Oreochromis niloticus: one gene and its partner. The protein of the gene in region 1 interacts with the protein of each later gene in a pairwise test. Links are inferred from orthologs where the notes say so. Each region holds a gene or a part of one and is shown in the gene's direction. Other genes may lie near its edges.

Region 1 (7,396 bases):
ATGAGTTGATTCTTTTAGCAAATCTATTCAATTTTTATATTTTTTTTACTGTTACACTTTATTGTAACACACCAGAAAATGTTACACCTGTACACCCTTCCCTGAACTGACTTAATGGATTACATTTATATAGCGCTTTTCGAGACCCTCAAAGCGCTTTACAATTCCTCTATTCATTCACTCTCACATTCACACACTGGACTTTTTGGTTCAATCAAAATGGATTTTAAGGTGATTTTCTCCGTCTCCATAGACCATCAGAGAAACTGCTGTCAGCTCCACTTGTCTTAAAACATGCTATACAGTGTCTTTGTTTAGATTTGATTTCATACTGCATGCACAAATTCCAAGACATGCAGTTACTGTAAACCCACCTTAGTTCAGCTCCTCCTTTCACCTGCCTGCCCGGCAGCTAATGCTTCAGGCTAGTGCTTCAAACCCCAGGCGAGTGACCATGACCCTCCTGCTGTTCCTTCACCTCCATGTGCCTTCTGGGCCGACCCATCATCACACCATCCAGGCAACCCCTCCTAATTCTCCCTTGAGTCACATTTAGGAGGTGAGGGGAGGAGATAGAGGGAGTAGTGTGCTTCTTCAGGGGCTGCTGTGGTGTTAATCTGCCACCGTGGGTAAAGTTAAAATTGTTAAGCTTGTTTATAGGTCACTCACTGTCTGCGCTTGCACCCTTGCGCTGCCTCTCGCTCTCAGCATGGGGAATGCTGTTAGGCGGAAATTCAATCTTGGATTTGCTCCTTTTCCAAGAGCACGCTGCCTATTCGCCCACTTTTTCTGACCCCAACAAGCCTCCTCACTCAAAAATGTCAACCTCTTACAACCCTAAGTCTGTCTTAAACATGCTGTGCATTCTTACATACACTTGTAGCCTGATCTGTACCTGAACTAGAAAGTTTAAAAAGGAGAATAAAAAATAAAATAAGGGAGCAGTGTTTGCACCATGAACATGATTTACACTCTAGAATCATACCACAAACATTTGGTTGGTATTTATGTTTTTTCCCTCTTTTGCTGTTGCATCTTAGATATAAATTAAAACTTGCAGGTTACTGTGGTTTGTGCAGAATTATCCACAAATTGGATCAGAGCAGTGATAAATCTGTCATGAAATGTGACCACACCATTACTCACTTTATGTTAAATATAAAACTTGATTTCTGTGGTTATTTTAGACACATCTTAAATTATACACCAAAACATCTCTGAGTCTCTGGGTCTGTGTGCAGGAAGACTTTTCTTACTGTTGCCTTCAAATACTTCAAGTAATTTACAGCTCTTAAGTGTTTATTTTCACAAAGGGTTTGTAAAGTTTGCTCTTTGCATTCCAAATCTCCAAATCCAATTTTGATACTTTGAATAAGAGTAGCTGTTGCAGAGGACTGTAGGTCGGAATGTGTGGGAAAACCTGCTGGCTTGTTTACTGCAAGCTGCAGCTGAAGGCACTTGGAGATCCTGGTATTTTTGGCTCACTTTATTAAACTGTGTGAGATGTGCTGAATCCTTTACTGGCATAGTGAGTGGTATGGTAGCATGCAAGCTATGCTCTGTATAAAAAAAAATAGATGTAGCTTCCAGGTCTGAAAAGTGAAGCAAATGTGAAGCAGTGTGCCTTAAACTGTATTCTTTGTAATGGCCAGCAGGGGGCTGACGCCACAGGTTGCAGAAAGAAGCCCAATTTAAAAATAATTTGTGAGTTGGTGAGTTTATGACCTCAAATATTAGTTTAACCTTTAAGTTAATAAAGCACAATGTTCCTTAAAATTATTATTATTATTATTATTAATAATAATAATAATAATAATAATAATAATAATACAGGCTGATGTCCAAAAATCTGAATCCCTGAAAAAAATCAGGAAGTTTAAGGATTTCCAAATTTTTATTTTTAAACACAAAATGTTTTGCCATGTAAAATGAGGAAATTAGATTAAAGTTCATTTCAGCTTCTACCTTATCCACATGTTTTAAGTCACATGCCCTTCCTGAGCCAACTTCAAAGGTTTAGTGTCTCTGATTTTTACCTCCAATCGACCCAGCACCCTTTTACACGAATATGTTGACCAGTGAGGCATGAAAATGAAGAAATGAAATAATTACGTTTAAGATTAAGTATACAAAAATGAATACTTTTAACAAAAGGCCAGATCTCCTTGATCTTTAAGTGCTTTATAACTGCTAGAAACATAGCATCAGCAAGTTTAGTGGGAAGCAGGTGCTTCATACTGTCAGGTAAAGACACTACAGTATTGGAGAGAGATCCCCAACAATCAGACGATCCCATTCGTGCAAGTGCTTGATAATGGGGAGTAGGAAGAACTTCCTTTCACAGAACGAAACTAATCATGTCCAGTCTGGGGCGGATCTAGAGAAATTTTTTTTAGAGTGGCATGAGGGTGGCAAAGAAATCAAATGGGGTGGCAAAATCAAAGCCTTTTTTTCCCCAAACACATATGCAGGTGGTTACATATGGTTAAAATGATTCAAATGCAGTAAGTATACACGTTTTTCATATAAATATAGTCTATAACTTAATTATTGTCTGTAGCCCACATAATTACACACTTTAGTTACATAAAACATGTGAGTTTTGATATTATGTACTGTATAGCCTGTATAATAAATAAATATGTAGCCCAACAAGTATAAAATCCAGAAAGTTGCACAACATGGGGCGGTTCATTTACAAACACAAGTCTAACTTAAGTTTCACACTGTTTTTTGTTAGAAAACAATCACATTGTTACAGCTTAAATTACACAAAATGTCAGAAATCTGCACTGTCATGAACAAAAATTTAAACCTAATTTTTCATGATTTGTTGGATTAACCCACTGAGGTCTGAAATACAACCGGGCATTTTTGACTCCTTTTGAGTTTACGTTTGTATTTCACCCTCAGATTGTTTCATTTTATTTTTCCCCCTTGCCTTGTTTGGGATCATTCTTTTCAGCTCAACTGAATTTAGTTGTTTTTTTCACTGACATACTGCATTAGTATTACTGATCTGAAATCACACAAAGAACTTAAAATCCTAGTAGTATTTTTTTACTGAAAAAAAAAAACCACAGACATGTTGAGTAAATTTTTATAACTTGAAATGCAAATATAAATTGTACATTTTGTAAACATATCCAACTATTTATCTAAAAATGCAGCCAATACACCTGCCGTTGCTTTCATTTTGTACAACCATTTAAAAATATACTAAAACTAAAATGAGAGAACAATCAGGTGTTGCAATAAGATGCCCCACAAATGATGTGTGCCAGTAAAAAAAAAGTTTGTCCACCAAAAGACAGATGAGAACAGCACAGGGATAAACCTGCAGGCCTGACAACAGCAGGTGTATCACTCCGCTGGTTTTCTACTTAGTGACAGTGTTTACATTGCAAATGTGCCTTTGTGACATTCATTAGTGCCCTCACTGACACACACAACAAAACGACTGCACAACAGAACAGCTACACAAGACAACACAACACACTAACTGTACACTCCACACTAAACGTCACAAATCTCCCACATCTAAAAACTCTCTCACTCGCTCGCTCTGTCTCGCTGCCGTTACCGTCACTCTAAAAACTCTCCCCTCTCCCTAAACAACCAAATCCCACGTGTTGACTTTTTTAAAAATTGGTTGACATGGTACATTTTTCCACCGATAGGCTTCTTTTCCTTTCTTTACTGTTTTCGCGCTTTCCTTAGAAAACACTTAAAATACACACAGCACACATAAAAAACGTGACGACAGTATTTAGAAAAAAGCATGGATTATATATATTATCATAACTCTGGATTTACTGGCCTGTAATTAAAATTTAAAAACTTTGAAGTCCGAACTTTCAATGTGGGCTGAAACAGAGACTCAGCGTGGCTGCAGCTTGTTGCTATGTCAGCTTAACATAGTCATGTGATTTGGAGGTGCAGCGTGTCCGTGGACCACAGAGGGTTAATAACACTCATCTTCCTTCCATTTCCATAGTGTAACATCCAACCACCTGTGTAAAATCCGAAATTCCCGTGGTGTTGTTCAAAATGTGCTCTGGCACAATCATAAACATCGCTTGCTACTGATAACAAGAAAAAAGCTGGTCCTGCTGTGGGCTGAACCATTTGTTAATGGTAGAGGGGAGGAACACTATGCAATATATTCAGTTTTATTCACTGTTGACTGTAACTACGCTCAAACTGTTAATGCTATCTTATTTTAATAAACAACACTGTCATATGCAAAACTGGGGTGGCAAAGGATCATTTTAGGGTGGCACTTGCCACCCCATGCCACCCTTCTAGATCCGCCCCTGTGTCCAGAGTGATGATTTCTAAGGAAGCTGACATCAGCTTAGGGCGGCTAAGTTATTGGCACCCAAGCACAGATGTCCAGACACAGTTGAAGTAAAAAGGATATTATTATAAAAGTTCAAGAACCCTCTCTAGAGCTAGTTTTCTTGTGAATGTATGGATTTCCTACTATCCCCTATGCTCCTGAATGCAGCAAAGCAAACCGCATGATTTTGTGGTACTTTGAACTTTACAAACATGCTGACAGCGGCTGATCGTTTCTGCTGGCGGCGAAGACACAGAGGAGTCCTGCTGTAATAACTCCGAGCAGAGAAAGTAAGAACTAACCGTTATTAGTCCGCTGTTTGACAGCAGCGCCGCTTTGCGTCACATTTATCATCGTAATCGCAGACAAAATGTCCCTCCGCTACCACAACAAAGTGGCTGTTGTCACGGGAGGATCCAAAGGGATTGGCAGAGGGATTGTCAGAGTGTTTGGTATGAAAATGTCTTTATTTATGCTGGCAGTTTGCGCATGCAGCGAGGAGTGGCGCACTGAACATTTCTGCGACTTTTTTTTTTCTTTTATAGTGGAAAACGGAGCCAAAGTGGCGTTTTGTGCAAGAGAAAGTTAGTAAGGCTGTTTTTATTCTGCTGCTTTTTAAAACAGTTACACGAATTCACTTTTGCCAGCATATATGAAAAGAAAAATAATGGAGTGCAAGTTTTTGCGGCATGATCAGACGTGTCTCGTAGGTGCAGCAGGTGAAGCTTTAGAGACGGAGCTTAACAAGACCGGACCAGGCTCGTGCAAGTTTGTCAAAAGTGACATCTCCAAGGAAGAAGACATAAAGGTGAAGTACAGCTTTGTGGGTGTAAGGTCTGAAATGGACAGAGTCACATGATCACATGATGATCACATGATGATCACATGAGCTCAGAGAGTGACTCGGGCAGCCACTGCTGATGTGTGCTTGTCATTTGTTGGTTTCTCTTGTCTGTGCAGAGACTGATTGCAGTCACAGTGGAGCAGTTTGGTCACATCGACTGCCTGGTCAACAACGCAGGCTGGCGTGAGTCACACATGCATTTTTTGTCTGTTTTTCACCTCCAAGCAGATATGACGTCATGGCCGTCCTGCTTACTTTCCTTCTTTGTGTGAAATCTTCCTCTTCAGACCCTCCTCATAAACCCACCGATGACACCACAGCGGAGGAGTTCAGAGACTTGTTGAATCTGAACCTCGTCAGCTACTTTTTGGCGTCTAAAGTAAATTTTCACAGCTTTGCGTGCAAGTATATTCTGTCTTCTGTGGAAACAAAGACAGGACATAAAGATTAAAGTGATACATTTAAACACTGATGAATGAAATAAATAACAAATAACTTTATTATGAAAAGACAAGCGGGGAAACAATACAGGAAAAAAATGTTTTCAGTGGTCTTAAAAGTACACGATCATATCCTTAACATGGAATCTACCTCCTTTGATATCAGGATTCCAGGATTTCCAGGTTCTTGCATTGACTGATTGATTTTAGCCAACGCCAGTCTGACTAACTAATAACCCATAAACCCGTCATACCTTTCATTTCTGTTTGAGCTCTTGGAGTAATCGAAACATTATGTATAGAGGATCTTTGCACCACCTGAAAGTCTCGCTCTCTCTGCAGTATGTGTTACCGTACCTACGAGAGCGCCAAGGAAACATCATCAATATTTCCAGTCTTGTGGGAACTATCGGTCAGAAAGATGCTGCACCGTATGTTGCCACAAAGGTGAGCTTCTTTCCTCATTTCCTAAATTTCAGCCCCCTGCCCAATAGAAGAGTACTGTAATGTGATGTCTTCTCCACAAGGGGGCGATCATTTCCATGACAAAGGCAATGGCAGTGGATGAGAGCCGCTACAATGTGAGAGTCAACTGGTGAGGCAAACTGGCATCTGAAAAAAAAGTTTTCTAGGGAGAAAATATATTTTTAATTTCCAGATTAATTAATTGGATTTCACTTTAATCACAAGAATAAGATATAAAAATGTGTTGAGTCACAGGCTCCCCCGCCCCCAATTCATGAATTGCATCATGCAATTAATGATGCAATTAATGAATGCATCATTGATTGCCGAACTGAACTACGGCTTCAAGAGTCAAATCCAGTCCTCACAATCCTGAGTGTCCTTGTGGCTGTGGAGCAGCCGATGTTACACATTTATTTCTTTATATAAGGAGATATGTGCGAGTGTGCTGGTTACAAGGCTAAAATGAATACTAAATAATTTTGGATATAAGGAAAGAAATTAAATTAATTGATTACTAAGATAACAAACAACTATAATTAAGCATTAACTGGAGGTAAAAGACAGAACTACAGTGAAATAAAAAATGTGATTCTGATAAATAAAAAGAATTCAGGTGTGAAATAAAAACTGAATGTGTAGAGATTCTACAAGTATTTCATTTCCTTTATTTTAATAATTATGCATTTCTTTGTCTGATCAGAGTGTCTGGCTTTTGTTGCAGCATTTCACCAGGTAACGTGATAACACCTCTGTGGGAGGAACTAGCAGCACAGACACCAGACACTGCCGCTACCATTAAAATGGGGGAAAATGCTCAGGTACGTTCAGGAAGGCGTTCAGAAGCCATGTAGATTATGGGTGCTGGTTAGTAGTGAGGAGCTGAGTTATGCAAAGTCATTCATGAAAAGTTATGAAAAATGAACCGTGCCATCATCACATTGGATCAGGGCAGCGAATGCCTCTGGCGTTGTTGGTCAGCAGGCTGCTGGTGGAAAGTGTGCTACTATTGGCTCAAAACAATGGAAGGGGAGAGGGGGAAGGTGTGTTAGGAGGTGGCGTGAGAGAAGGAAAGGCAGGAGTGTGGCGGTCAGAGATAGGGACTTACATGTGAGGAGCTAGCTGATATGAAGGAGAGAAGGAGGCGGATATTTTTCAGAGCCAGTGTCAGACAGGTTAATGAGTTTGAAGCTGGAAATCGTAGAGGTAATGTTGAATGTTGTCAGTGTGAACGCCGTGTAGGTTGGATGTCAGTTAGAAGAGATGGAGGAAGCTAGATAAAGTGCTAGATTTAGTCCCCAGGAA
Region 2 (7,634 bases), on another chromosome or scaffold:
TTGCCAGTTGTCTTACGTTTTCCACTGCTCCAATGATAGTGACGTCACGATGAAGTTAATGCTCATAGCAAACAGGAATGGTGACGATCTCTTTCTGTAGGTAGTCTTTGGCCTTGAAGCGGTGCTTGAACCCTCTCAGGTAACTGCTGATTATTACCTTGATGTGGTCTGGGATGTGATAGTGCTTCAGTGCTGTTCTGAGAAGATTGTGAGGAATTAGCCGAGTCCAGCCAGACTGCTGTCAGATTTCTTTGACCTGGCTTTCACGTATAATCTTGCTCAGGACCAGGGCCATTTTTTTTTTTTTTGCCATTTATCTGGGTTTGGGTCATTGAGGCAGCAGACTAAGAAAAGATGCTCAGACCCACTTCTTACCTGGCTATAGCCTCTAGGTTATCCAGCAGAAATGTTTTTGACCAATGCTTTCCCAAGGCAAGTAAGAGTCATCATCTCTCCAGCATGTTCTCTCCCAGTTACACATGCAGGATCCATCCTCATCAGGTGTTCTCTCTGAGTCGTCCTAGATGAACAAGCTCCTCACCTGTCTCTATGTCCCTGAAGTCAACTTGGGCAGCTGGGGATGTGACTGCCAAAGCCACTGACTCTTACTTGATCTACAAAGCACCAGACCCTTATAGCTCCCTCTGCCTCCACAGGAGGGTGGACTCATGAGTCTTGTTCTGGGTCCAGGCCCAGTGGGCTAAGGCTCGGCCACTCAGTGCTCATTTGAATGACACTTAATCTGAAGACCATTTTGCTTTGGGAGGCCCACCAGAAAAAGTTTCTCTCGACAACACAGGTCTTAGGAACATGGTGATGGATGGAGGGGTTATTACAGTAAATCAGTGCAAAATATTAGACCATAAAAAAAATAAATCTAAAGAAAGCAAAACAACATAAATCTGGGCAGACAGAATTATCAGCAAGTTCAGAAAACCAGCCCGAAAGGCCTGGAAATAATATGACATCTGTGAGTAAGTTTAAAAAAAAAACCCCAAACAAACCCAAAACATCCATTTGTAAGAAAACCATTCACTTCTCCATTACTCCTTGAGTAGTTTTACAACGCTTTAACATCAATTTAAATGGGATTTTTCTGATTTAACATTATCTTGAAATAAAGTGTTATCTCTTTTTAATTCAAATGTGATTTTTTCACATTTTTAAAAGGAACAGCTGGAAAATAAAATGCATCATCTTAGGCAGCTATTCTTTCAATAAATTAAAAAAGCTACAATTTTCCACAAAATAGACCCAGCCTTATTTCAATCGCAGACTCTCAAAATTGCGCACTATTCTGATGATATTCTGATGTTATGTTTTAGGACATTCATTTTCTGGATAGACCTGTCTATATCTACTTGTAATCCCAAAATGTAACAATTTATGTTCCGAGTTACTTTTGCCCTCATGACATTTTGTATGTCGTCACAGTGAGACACAGAAAATAAATTTGACTTAAACAAAAAAGTAATGACACACAATGAAAACAATGTTGCCTTTGATTCCAGCCCACATCTAAGTTCCAAGCTCAACAGACAGCTGTGTTTACAGCATGTATTCAAGAGTTAAACCAACCGGTTACAGGTGGACATTTTAAAAGCAGTGATGTAACCTAGTCCTTGAACTTTAAATGGATCATTGTATTGTAGAAAACAAATTTTCAACCATGTAAAAACCTGAAAGGAAACTCTGTGGCCATTATTCACTGCACAGAAGAGCAGTGGCTCTTTGCAGTGCCTTAAACCTGGATTCTTTTTAGCACAGGGCCAGCAGAGGGCGACTCCTCTAATTGTAGATAAGTGTAAGGAAAATGCCTTTCAGTTTTTTTGATCTGTAACTTCAGTTATACTTAAGATTGTAAGTTAAGCTTTATTAAATAGAACGCAGTGCTGATTTCAGATATTATTATACCCCCAGTCAGAGTCAAAAAGAAACATAGAATAGGGAATGACATAGGACCTACCTTCAGTTCTAGCCAGTAAGCTTGCAATATCAGTCCTGACATGCAGGGGTGGATCTAGAGAAATATTCCTAGGATGGCGTGAGGGTGACAGGGAAATCACATGGGGTGGCAAAATCAATGTGCAGGTGTTACATTCTGTAATATTTATTATATATGCTTAAAATACACCAAATGCAGTAAGTATACACCTGTTTCCTATAAACATGGTCAGTAACCTTCTTATTGGCTTTAGGCCAAATAATAAAACATTTCCGTTACATAAAAAATGTGCATTTTGATTTTATATATAGGCTACTGTGTAGCCTATATATTAAATAAACATGTAGCTCAATAAGTATAAAATCCAGAATACTACACAACATGAGGTGGATCAGTTGGAAATACAATTTTTCTAATTTAAGTTTCACATTCTTGTGTTAGAAATAATCAAACTGTTACATGCTTACAAAATGTCAGGAATCTGCACTGTCATGACCAAGTTTTTCACCAAAAATTTGAAGTGATTTTTTTTATGATTTATGGGGTTATGATGCTCACCTTCATTCAGTTTCCAGAGTGTAACAATCAACCACCTGTGTTGAAATCTGAAATGCCCATGATGGTGATTCAAAATATGCTCTGGCACAATCACAGATATCAGTTGCTACTGACAACAAGAAATACATTTTTAATTTTTTGAATCTATATTGAATTTTAACTAGCTAGGCTCAAAGTGTTAATGCTAGCTTATTTTAATAAAAAAACAAAACAAACATTGTCATATGTCAGAGGATTTGCTTTTTTTTTTATTCAGCTATGATGACACTCGCAAAATTGAGAAAAGAAAAAGAAAAAAGATCCAAGGCTCTCTATCTTCTTTACTGTGAGGGTAAATATAACACAATACCACTTGATGGCAGCAAGCAAACAGGTAAATGCAAAGCATGAAAAGAATTTTCCAAAGAGCTAATTAAATACTCATTATTGACATGCTGAGCTGTAGTGACTAATTGTTTCTTACAGAGCAAGGTAATCTGACTAAATGTGACGTGTTTGATGGCAGAAAGCAACAGGAGGAAATCACTCTGGACAGGAGAAGACATCTGCATTGGTAAAGAACATACACTAAAGAAGTGAATAGGTGTCACTAGCTAAGTCCATCAGATTGATTGAAATACCAGTATTAAATAGAATAATTAGAGGCTAAATTCTGCTGGTTTTGAGTAATATCTCAGCAAATTCATTGTATTTGAGTATCACCACAAGAAAGTGGCTGTGAATTCAGTAATCAAATAATCTATGAAATTTCTACATTTGATCAGTTTGTCTTAATTTCTTTACATCTGAAGTAGAATATATCAGACAAGTTCTTCATCTTACAACTTACAAGGCACTGGAAGGCATGCAGCCACTGACTGCTTTAATTATTAATAAAAAGTAAAGGAAACAAAACTCAAAGTAGTATGCAACAGTGTTCCTACCTAAAAAAAACCTCAGCTCATAGCTTAAGGTCTTGTGTTTGATTACACAACCACCACACGTTCCGTCTCCAAACAGGGATTTAGTTGCTCTTCCTGGGTGATACTATTACAATTTAAGAACGCTCATATGTCATTTCAGCAGGAACTCCTATAAGGTTTTTTGGGAGTCAGAGGGTAACAACCTGTTCTGTTACTTAAGTAAAAGGATATGTTGTGTAATTTAACAATTTAAGTGCAAATTAGACTTCTGCACTTCCTCTTGGCTCTTGGAAAACCTAGCAAATCCCATGATTTGGTAACTTTGGGAATTTCAGATGGGGAAGACACTCCTGTTGGCTGTTCTTTAAATGTTGATGCTCCTGCACATCAAGGGAGCTCTTCTTCATTTAGCTTGCTCTGAGGACAGTTTCCAAGGACAGTTTCCTGATAAAGAATGTAGGGTAATTAATGAGAGCAGCCTGGAGGATATGGATTAGGAAAGGAGGGAATGAACAAAGGAAAAAATGTCAATACTATGAATTATTTGTCCCATTTGAGACTCCACCTCCCAAAAAATACAGTAAAATTGAAAAATATATAGTTAACTTACAAATGACAACAACTGGTAATTAAAGAATGTATAACAGGGTGAAATATAAACCACTGTTCAGTGTTCAAAGTCATTTGTGATAGGCCATGAAGTTGTAGCCAAAGGCTTCTGTGGGTGTTTGAGAGCCACTTTCTTTGTCCATCTTGAAGCCATCAAGTCTGAAGTAGAGTTGGCCTTTCACTTTCACCCTCATGCTGCTTTTTGCATGTTTTCTCAACCACTGCTGTTTCCTTCACCCAAGGGTGGATCTGTGGCCTCCAACAGAAACACCAGCATGACCTTCCTGCCAGCATTCCAGCACACACACATACACACAACCACTTTGGTTCTGAAAACAGCAGAAAGGCTAAAAGAGCATAACAAATAAATCAAGAAAGAAAAAATAATTAAAGCCGATATGCTTTACAGTTTATTTTCACCTCTGAACAGAGGGAGCATACAGGGCAGGGAGATGAAAAAGAAACACTGTTGTGACATTTTATGCCAGGGTGAGCAAGCACACCTGCAGAGACAGAAAGGAAGAGAGAGAGAGAGAGAGAGAAAGAGAGAGGAAGAGAGAGAGATAACAGTAGAGCAAAGTAGCGAGAGAAAAGAGGCGGAGCAACACAGAGTAAAGAGCTGCTCAGAGAGGCAGAACAGTCTGCACACATCATCAGCTTGTCTCTTTAGGAGGACGAGAGCAAGAGAGAGTAAGAAAGGGGGATAAGAAGAGACAGACAGAAAAAAGGAAGAAAAGAGAAACTGCATCAAAGAAAAGACAGAGTTGTTGCTGAGCTGGGAATCCATCCAGCAGACTTCAGAGTGACTGGGAGCCTAGTGGGAGGACAGACTGGTTTCTAGCCACAGGGAGTAGACTGCAAAGCACCATGGCTGACAACGTGAATGAGGAGTCGGATTATACCCCAGGGAAAGATGAGCTGGACTGGGGCTATGAGGAAGGTAGGCTGGGATTTCTCAGTATGTGAAGGGATGCTGGAGATGTGTGAAAAGCTAAGGATCAGGAGGAGTTTCAAGGGGGACTCAACCCAAAACTTTACACTTTTTAAAAACATTTAAAAAAATACAATTTGATTCTTTAGTTGGATTTGGGTTATACACTGTACAACATCTGTCAGAACACCGGCTTCATTATTTTTTTAATAAACCACTAATGGTTTTACTCTCTCATCTCCTATGTTGTAGGTTGCTCGAACGGCATGATTTACAGTCAGTGTTATATAGAAAAATATCACAAGAACAATATCACTTCAGTAAAGTTGCCAGCAAACCAGTTATTTATCACTGCACTGCTAAAGGTCTAGGAGACTTGCATCAGACAGTTGTTGGTCAGAGAGTTTCAGCAGAGCAAAGATTACCTTGGACTCTACAAATCATACAATAAAACTCAAAAATGGCTTGGCATTAAGAGCTGTCACTCATATATCACTCATATACTCATATATCTTTGTCTAAAGAGAAACTGAATAAAGCACATAAGCACTTGAACATAGGTTACAAATATTACTGTCATACTTTCAGTATGTCATGTAGTTATGTGTTCACTTTGTCTTTCTGGTAATGCTGCTTTTACTGAGCATCGAGGGATATACTGTCACACTGAACTGTGAAATTCTTACTGTAAGTATACTAAATTATATGGAATACCATGTATGTCTAAGACACTAATATCTGACATGCGAATACCTGGTTAGGTTAAGAGGAGATGAGAGGTTCCCACAGGAAATTCCTCATCTTAATTTATAAGCACAAGCACAGAACTTCCTTGCCATGAGCTGACAGTGCTTACTGCTGTCTAATAAGCAAAAGTTTCCTTTCTTAGGACTTAGCTAAGGTCTCAGTCACATAGACCTAGAGGTTGGTTGACCCCCTGACAACCTCTGATCACCAGGGAAAAATGTTGCTCGCAAATCGTTGCTGCTATTGCCAGGTGAAATCAGCTACACCAAGAATCTGCTTGTGATAGCTTTGGTCACCTGCAGTTTGCATGGAAGACACAGACTTTTCTACAAAGAGTTGTCATTTATGCCACAAGCTTTAGTCAAATGTGGAACAAGTGCAGTATAAATTGGGTTAGGGCTAGGGTTAGGGCTAACCCTAACCCTAACTTTTACTCTGACTGCAAATGTTCTCAATTTCTCATTTTTGTCACTCTTAGTTTCACTAACAGTTGGTGAGTAATTTGCAAGTGTTTACAGAAATTTCAGCATCTTCCATATAAACTGCTGCAAAGGTGGCAGCCTGCTAGCAAGTAAAGTAAAGGGGGTTTCTCAAAGAAGGGTTTTGGTGTACCACTTTACATCTGCTTGCAAACACTTTCTTGATAAAAACAGCCAGCGACTTCCAGCAACCACCCACAACCAGGTAAAGAAAGCACATTTTTCTGCTGCAACCAGTGAATTACAAGGTCACTGACTGACTGGTTTTGAGGTCTCTGTGCGAGTTGATCAGTTGATTTCACAGAGACTGCCAGAACCTCCAACAGCCATTGAAGGTGCACTATCAGATGGCCACCAACAGGTCTCTAATGCCTCTGTGGCTAACAATCAGGCACAGTCATTTCTTGATTAGCTTACACATAAGAATGATATCATCTAACACTAAAGTTAACAAGAGAAGAAATAAGCTTACAACCCCCAAATTTTTTCAGTGACTGAAATAAAAAAACACAATTACTCACAAAGCTAAGTTCTTAATTTGAGGTCATTAAAGCAACAATCCGCAATCTAGTAGTGCCACTGAAATTCTCACTGCCTTTAGTAAACTGTTGTTAAGGCTTTAGTTGCTGAGGAAAGCGAGAATGTGACTGCTCCCCCTTGCCTCTTTGCTACGGTGTGAATAGTCAGCCAGTGAGGGCCGTCTGTCTGCAGTCCCAACAGAAAGGCACACTGTGAGGCCTGAGCTCCTTTTCTTGGAGGCAGATGGGTGTACTGGACTTTCCATGAACACCATACTGCCAGTGTGTGTTTCCTCTTTCTAAAAACACAGCAGGTTGTGCACATTATACACATCTCTTACTGTTGCAGTCAGCTGAAAGTGAAGCAAATTCTGTCTTTCAGTGGTATCACTTTCTCTACACTTTTTGCTCTTCACACTCTATTAAACAAAGGCATTACTATCTTACAAAATATTTCAGTGTTGTGCTGTTGACAGGTGACCTGTCTCATTTAGGGCAGACTTGCCCTGTTTTTACAACTGCAGTCTGCTTAATTATGCTTTTATGAACAGTAATCTCATTGTCACACTCACTGCAAGAAATCCTGTTTACTAGACACTGAGAGGAAGCAGAAAGAAACTCAGGATCAGAATGAGGACAAGGCAAAGAGGAAGAGGGACTGAAGACCAGTTTTAGCCAGTCTCGTGTCCCCCACACGTTCTTCTGAAACCACTCTTTTCCTCTCATGCACACACCCAGCTCTGTTTATATCACTTCAGGGAATATTATTTGACTTTGATTTTGTGGCGCCAAACCCCAATTTAAACCACAACTACTATTTATACAAACTTTAATTTAAAGTTTAGCAGTGCTCACCACCTATATATATATGTGTGTGTATATATATACATATATAGAGAGCAACAAACTCTAATAAATAACTAATACTAATCAAACAGTTGTCTG

Evidence for each region.
Region 2: the proteins of hsd17b14 (region 1) and ca8 interact in binary tests that used the Homo sapiens proteins (3 or more experiments, as listed by UniProt). The two-hybrid records come from large-scale screens. The link is inferred for Oreochromis niloticus from reciprocal best matches to the Homo sapiens genes HSD17B14 and CA8.

What each region holds. Positions count from the first base shown.
Region 1 is NC_031969.2:29,967,361-29,974,756, forward strand, and holds the start of hsd17b14 (L-fucose dehydrogenase), read left to right. Parts: upstream 1-4,396; 5' UTR 4,397-4,712; coding exon 4,713-4,794; intron 4,795-4,887; coding exon 4,888-4,926; intron 4,927-5,052; coding exon 5,053-5,150; intron 5,151-5,302; coding exon 5,303-5,369; intron 5,370-5,473; coding exon 5,474-5,565; intron 5,566-5,968; coding exon 5,969-6,073; intron 6,074-6,153; coding exon 6,154-6,221; intron 6,222-6,815; coding exon 6,816-6,912; intron 6,913-7,396. UniProt on the Homo sapiens protein: Catalyzes the NAD(+)-dependent oxidation of L-fucose, yielding L-fucono-1,5-lactone, which rapidly converts spontaneously to L-fucone-1,4-lactone. Can also act on D-arabinose and L-galactose, with lower catalytic efficiency. Does not use NADPH.
Region 2 is NC_031982.2:2,298,017-2,305,650, forward strand, and holds the start of ca8 (carbonic anhydrase-related protein), read left to right. Parts: upstream 1-4,624; 5' UTR 4,625-4,881; coding exon 4,882-4,954; intron 4,955-7,634. UniProt on the Homo sapiens protein: Does not have a carbonic anhydrase catalytic activity.